Macaca fascicularis: one gene and its partner. The protein of the gene in region 1 purifies or fractionates together with the protein of each later gene. This does not show direct contact. Links are inferred from orthologs where the notes say so. Each region holds a gene or a part of one and is shown on either strand. Other genes may lie near its edges. The genes, in order: MIA2 and MIA3.

The links.
Region 2: the proteins of MIA2 (region 1) and MIA3 purify together in Homo sapiens (affinity purification with western blotting; 6 studies listed by BioGRID and IntAct, counting the BioPlex papers as one, with this or other methods). This does not show direct contact. The link is inferred for Macaca fascicularis from reciprocal best matches to the Homo sapiens genes MIA2 and MIA3.

Annotation. Positions count from the first base shown.
Region 1 is NC_088381.1:107,191,683-107,195,263, reverse strand, and holds the end of MIA2 (melanoma inhibitory activity protein 2), read right to left. Parts: intron 2,778-3,581; coding exon 2,543-2,777; intron 1,428-2,542; coding exon 1,261-1,427; 3' UTR 825-1,260; downstream 1-824. UniProt on the Homo sapiens protein: Plays a role in the transport of cargos that are too large to fit into COPII-coated vesicles and require specific mechanisms to be incorporated into membrane-bound carriers and exported from the endoplasmic reticulum.
Region 2 is NC_088375.1:80,624,745-80,628,572, forward strand, and holds part of MIA3 (transport and Golgi organization protein 1 homolog), read left to right. Parts: intron 1-1,489; coding exon 1,490-3,828.

The DNA of each region.
Region 1 (3,581 bases):
GTAAGCACGAAATGTAATGACATTTCCACAGTCCTCATTTTACTTAGTATTTTAATCAAGCATTCATTTCACTTCCAGTATTTCTTTTTAGCCTTTTTTCTTTTTTCTTTTTTTTTTTTTTTTTTTGAGGTAAGGGTTAGAACAGAAAGGGAGCAAAAATACTTCACAAGGTCAGTGTTCCAAAGAACACCTGGGGAAATGCTGGCGGGAAGTGTTCCAATTACAAATGTATCACTGCTTTTATTCAAGAATATTTAATCTTCTAGCTTTTGGCACTGAAAAAAAAGTCTAATACTATAACAACCAACTGGTCAACATAAGTATTGTGATGTTTATTAGCTATGCCTCACTGCCTTTCCTCCATAATCATATTAATGTGCAAGAAGCCTAAAATGACCTACAAACCTGATTTAGGGAAACACTAAAGCTATTGAGTCCAAAGCGCAAAATGATGACACATCACTCACTACAGTTATCCTGTAGTAAATCTCAATATTCCCCACAGAAAATAGTAAATACATTACAAAAGAAGAGTGGGGTGGGGGGGCAGGGAAAGCAATAAAGAAACTGTGCAAGAAATTCAGTGAATAAGAAGATCAAAAGTCTACAACTGATCATTAGATAATATCCAGTTTTCTTTAAAATATAATCAATTTTGACTTTTAAGAGTGTATTAATTTGTTGCTTTGGGCCACTCATGTCTATTTACAAGAAAGAGGGCACATTTGTCATAACATAACTGAACATGAAAGACCCATATAAGTTTGAGTTTTGCACCTCAAAGTTATTGGTAAAAGGAAAAAAGTTAATTAATAGAGTCAAACTTATAGAAAAACTAGCTGATTTTATTATTATCAATGCCAAACAAATCTTTAAATCAACTAAAATTTATTTAAGCATAAAGTTACTTTCACATTTGTCTACAACCACAGTAAATACAGTTCTTGGCATAAAGACATAGCCTTTAGAATTTAAAGCCTCCCCACCTGCAAGATTACATATATAAAACTCCCACTATTGTTTATGTAATAGTGGATCAATCAAATTAAAATAGTTATACCATCTAGAATAAAATAAAATGGAAATAATTTACTCATAAGATTCATATTTAAATCATCTTTATTTACAAAATACTATCCTGAGAACTGTAATTCCATTAAGCTTCAATTTGAGCAAAAGTGTAATCACTTAAGTAACAGCAGTTACTTAAACTGGAAATTAGATCAGTCAAAATTACTTTTGAAGAGAGCAAAAATATTGTCAGGTTTCTTGCTGTGGTTCTGGATGTTCAGTAGCAGGCTCATTTGAAGGCGGAATCAACCCTGAAGGGAACTCACTTCTACCTTCAGAATGTGGGGGTGGGGGGAAAAATCCAGGTCTTGGGGGAAGGTAAGGAGGAAAACCCCTCGGTGGATAGACATTTCTCACTGTTCAAAGAGATTGGTAAAAGACATTTTTTAACTTTAAGAACCTGTACTGTGCCCTAATAAATCATTAAGTTTATAAGTTCCATTACCTATTCTTTTCTTTGAAAATTGACACCAGATAATTACTTCATCTAACAAATTACTTTTTACATTGAGAAAAATGTACCTCTTCCAATACAGAAGATTAAAGGAAATATCATTAATTTTTTATGTAATTTTTGTCCTATCTTAACACCTGTTTTTAAAAAAAGAGGAATTATTTCAAAATATATAAAACTTACTGTAAAAATAACATTTTTATCTTTCATTATCAAAGTCCTTCTCAAAAAACATTTTCATGTAATATTTTCACCAAACTTAAAATTCATATCAGTGATTCCCGACTCTGATTTGATATTATACTGAAACATTTCCAGTAATATCAAAGGCCACCTTAAAATTCCCCCAAACAAAATTCATTTTAATTCACCTTTAACTTTAAAAAGAGAGGAGAAATAAGGAAAGGAATGACTATATGAGACATTCATAGGAAAAGCCTAGTATTTGGTAACCACTTATTTATTCTGCAGAACCTTATAGTTCAAAACAGTAAAGTATGAATATAAAAGCAATGTATTATTCCCTTTTTCTTATGTGAAGCTTTAAAAGAATTCAATAAATCCAAAAATTAGGTCAAACATATTAAATACATTTTAAATTTTAAATAAGTAGGACTACATCAGAACAACTTATGAAAAGGACTAAAAAATAGCCAGTAATTGTAATGCTAGAATATAAGTTTTAATTATTTTCACTAAGTGCCAAAATGACCAGTTGCTACCAGATAAGGTACAGATGATTTTAGTTTTATCATAAGACCTGCAAAAAGTCAATTATTTTCTTGACTACCAAAATACAGAAATAATTCCATATTATTAAGCTGAATCAAGGTGAAACCTCATTATAGTCCACTTATGGCTGGCTGCCTTCCCAATTCGGAAAAGTAATGGTACACTCACAGAATGCTAGAAAAATGTTTCCTCCACTGTGTTACTACATTAACAGATAGTAAAATTAAATCTCTGATTAATAAAACACATATTGAGCTTTAAAAAAAAAAGTTTAAAAAAGCATACTTGCAAATGGAGCATGTGGTGGACCTGGGAAATCCCTTGGTGGAAAATAATCTCGAGAAGTTCCAAACATGGCTCCTGGAGGAGGTGCAGGGAAAGGAGGTCCTCTTCTCAAGAATGGGCCCCTTGTATCCACTGGAAACAATGGACCTCTGATTGGAGCAAGAGGTGGAGGAACAAAGCCAGGTCCAGTTGCTTCATTTTCAGCAGGGAGAGATGAATCAGGCACATTTAAATTCTACAACAAATTGACATATAGCAGTCACTAAAACAGCAAATTTGCAATTGTTTTCCTTAAAATCTCAGGCTTAAAAGAAACCATCTAGACAGAAAGCATTCCATGATAGTCTTAGAAAGCTCTAAAGAAAGATTCAAACAGCTTTCCACATTAATCTATTAGCTATCACATTTTAGTTATCACAAATATTTTATTAAGTCAACAGAAAACAGCTTTAACCAACAAAGTAATAGTCTGTCTAAAGATAAAACAGAAATATAACCCAAGAGCACCAAAATATATATTATTTTATCAAATATATACTGGAAAAAAAGAAAAAGCAAGATGTCTATGTTTATATTTTCAAAAAAAACATTATCTTAATAAAAAAAAATATTTTAAAATATTCAAATAAAAATCCAAGGGCGAGGGGAACTAAAATCTTGTTTAACTACTAAAATAACTCAAACTCCTAGTCTGCAAATTGTATTTTATCACCACAGGTTACCATCTACAAAAGAAACAGCTTTAATGCTAAGTAGAAAGTATATTAATCAAAAAGAAAAAATCAGCTTTATATCAAAAGCTAGACTATTAGCTGTTATTTCTATTCTAGTAAACCATGAGATTGGAAGGCTCAGGCCAGGCGCGGTGGCTCAGGGCCAGGCACAGTAGCTCACACCTGTAATCCCAGCACTTTGGGAGGCCGAGGCGGGCAGATCATCTGAGGTCAGGAGTTCAAGACCAGCCTGGTGACACTCTGTCTCTACTAAATATACAAAAATTAGTTGGGTGTGGTCGCACGCACCTGTAGTCCCAGCTATT
Region 2 (3,828 bases), on another chromosome or scaffold:
GAGAAATTTGAAAACTACTTATTGGATAGCTGTTAGACATTTTAAGGATACAGAAATCAGGTTAAATTAATTAAGCTCTAATTTTTATACTGAGCCAGAAATGCAAACTTACAAAGGTTTTCTTATTATTGACTCCTTAGTGATTTAAGGGATTATAGTTATAGATTTAGAAAAGGGAACCAGAGAGTTTCAGGTAAGGTCCAGTCTCGTATCTGTAAGGCACTAACTACACATTCTAAGAGCATTTATCTATAGCGCACAATGGCTTTATGACTAAAAGGATTTAAATATATTTAATATTTAAATATTTAAAAAATTGGCTCGGAAGTGTGCATGATGGAATGGGGGAAATCATTCATCTCTGGTATACTGGACAGGTCTCCCCAGAAGATTGTGAATGTTTATTTAGGGGAAGAAAAGTATCTTTGTTGTTTTTTTAACTTTTCCATCATTTTATGGCTCCTTGTGTGTCAATTTGCTTACTGGTGGAGGAAAGGAAAAATATAGATTTACTCAATATTCCTGAAAGCAGATCTTAGTGACTGCCTAGAATGCTTATTTGGAGTCAGGTACCTACCTTAGCGAACCTTGTTTTCAAGTTGTTCTTGTGGCAGTAGTAAAATGGGAAGCCTCCTTTACACCATTCTTTGTTCTCTTACATTTTTATATCTCATGCATCTGTATCTCAGTAAGTTCCTTCTGAAGCTGGTTTATCTTTCCCAGTCCAAGGAAAATATGAGTCCCAAATCCATGTAGACTGAGAACCTGACAGCCAGGTGATTCTGCCTGTTTCTGACTGGGGGAGCAGAAGTATGACATAGAGGGCACAATGTAGAGAAGCTGATGGTCTTTCAGCTCCTTCTGGATGCGTTATTATGAAGTGAATTCCCAGAACACCAGGCATAGATGTTGGGAGTTGGGGAACCCAATAAATGACACCTCACTTTTCCCCACCTGTGCTCAAAACAAATTGAGAGACCCAGAAATTGGGCAAATAGGAGATCAAAATGACCCCGTTACTTACTGATAAAGCTGTTTGGAATGTGCAGAACTAATGGGCTTTCTAACATGGCAGTCTAAACTAAGATGGACTTATCCAGTCACAGACAGAGCTACCCAACTAGGGGTCTCCCCAGGCGGGACCGTCTCTGTCAAATGGACAGCATGGAGGAGCAGAATATGTGTTTTCTCTCCAGCAGGTCCCAAACAGAAAACAGGAATGGGACTGAGCAAACTCACCAGCCACATGAATCATTCTTCCCCTGGGGAAGAGAGAATGAAGGGAAGCCAGGAGTATTACTCAGATGGGAAAGTGGGTTCCAGTGTCCTATCCACCCACTGCCCAAGAACAGTCAGTGCCCAGTGTTGATGCAAAAGCTCCTCTAGAGCCAAACGTGAATTTGAGATTATCTCAATCATTAACATGGATAAGAGTTTGCTCTGGTGACACTTGGCTGTTGACACACTAATGTTTTTCTTTTTCTTGCAGGAGACGGATTTTGTTTGTTTTGATGGAGGAAGAGATGATTTTGATAATTATAATGTAGAAGAACTTTTAGGGTTTTTGGAACTGTACAATTCTGCAGCTGGAGATTCCGAGAAAGCTGTAGAAAAAACTTCACAGGATATGGAAAAAAACTCTGAATTATCTACGGAAAGGGAACCTGAACCTGAACCAGTAGAAGCCAACTCAGAGGAAAGCGATAGTGTATTCTCAGAAAACACTGAGGATCTTCAGGAACAGTTTACAACTCAGAAGCACCACTCCCACGCAAACAGCCAAGCAGATCATGCTCAGGGAGAGCAGCCTTCATTTGAATCTTTTGAAGAAATGCTGCAAGATAAACTAAAAGTGCCAGAAAGTGAAAACAACAAAACCAGCAATAGTTCTCAGGTCTCAAATGAACAGGATAAGATTGATGCCTATAAACTTTTGAAAAAAGAAATGACTCTAGACTTGAAAACCAAATTTGGCTCAACAGCTGATGCACTTGTATCTGATGATGAGACAACCAGACTTGTTACTTCATTAGAAGATGATTTTGATGAGGAATTGGATGCTGAGTATTATGCAGTTGGAAAGGAACATGAGGAGAACCAAGAAGACTTTGATGAGTTGCCATTACTTACCTTTACAGATGGGGAAGATGTGAAAACTCCAGCAAAGTCTGGAGTTGAGAAATATCCAACAGATAAAGAGCAGAATTCAAATGAAGAGGATAAGATTGAGCTAACTGTGCCCCCTGGCATCAAAAATGATGATAAAAATATACTAACAACCTGGGGGGACACTATCTTCTCTATTGTCACAGGAGGTGAAGAAAATAGAGGTACGATGGATTTAGAGAGCTCTAGTTCAGAGGAAGAAAAAGATGATGATGATGCATTAGTCCCAGAGAGCAGACTGGGGAAACCACAGTCAGCAACAGATTATAGTGACCCTGACAATGTAGATGATGGTCTTTTGATTGTAGATGTTCCTAAAACAAATAATGACAAAGACCCGGAAGTAAACACAGACCATCACATTAAAGGAAAAGGGAGGGGAGTTCAGGAATCCAAGAGGGGCCTGGTACAAGATGAGACAGAATTAGAGGATGAAAAGCAAGAAGGCATGACTGTGCACAGTTCTGCTCACAGCAATAACCTCAACTCTATGCCAGCTGCTGAAAAGGGTAAAGACTCATTAAAATCAGCTTATGATGATAAAGCAAATGACCTAAAAGGAGCAGCTATTCATATCTCAAAAGGAATGCTCCGTGAAGAAAAGCCTGGAGAGCAGATTTTGGAAGGTGGCTCAGAGAGTGAATCTGCACAGAAAGCTGCAGGGAATCAAATGAATGACAAAAAGATTCAACAGGAATCCTTGCGTAATGCACCACTCATGGGAGATAACCACCCTAACGCATCCAGAGACAGTGTGGAGGGAGACGCTTTGGTTAATGGGGCCAAACCTCACACGCTTTCACTGGAGCATCAACGTGAGGAATTGAAAGAGGAATTAGTTCTTAAAACTCAAAATCAACCTAGATTCTCCTCTCCAGATGAGATTGATTTGCCCAGAGAACTGAAAGATGAGGTTCCCATTCTGGGAGGAAATCTTTCCTGGCAACAAGAAAGAGATGTGGCTGCCACAGTCAATAAGCAAATGAGTGAGAAGATAAGGCTGTCTGAGGGAGAAGCCGAAGAGGACTCCTTGGATGAAGAGTTTTTTCATCACAAGGCAATGCAGGGCACACAGAGAGTAGGACAGACAGAACAAACTGACAGCACAGGAGGACCAGCTTTCCTTTCTGAAGCAGAAGAGGACGATTATCCCTCTGAAGAACTACTAGAGGATGAAAACGCTGTAAGTGCAAAACGGTCTAAAGAAGAAAACCCTGGGAATCAGGGCAGGCAGTTTGATGTTAATCTGCAAGTCCCTGACAGAGCGGTTTTAGGGACCATTCATCCAGATCCAGAAATTGAAGAAAGCAAGCAAGAAACTAGCATGATTTTAGATAGTGACAAAAGTGACACTGCTGCCAAAGGGGTCAACACAGGAGGCAGGGAACCAAATACAGTGGTGGGAAAAGAACGCCCTCTGGCAGATGAGAAAGCACAGAGGCAATCTGAAGGAAGTGACTTTTCTGACAGCATAAAAACTCAGACTCCAGAATTAGGTGAAATGTTTCAGAATAAAGATTCTGATTATCTGAAGAACAACAACCCTGAGGAACATCTGAAGACCTCAGGGCTTGCAGGGAAGCTTGAGGGAGAACTCTCAAAAGAGGACCATGAGAACACAGAGAAATACGTGGGCACAGAAAGCCAGGGTTCTGCTGCTAC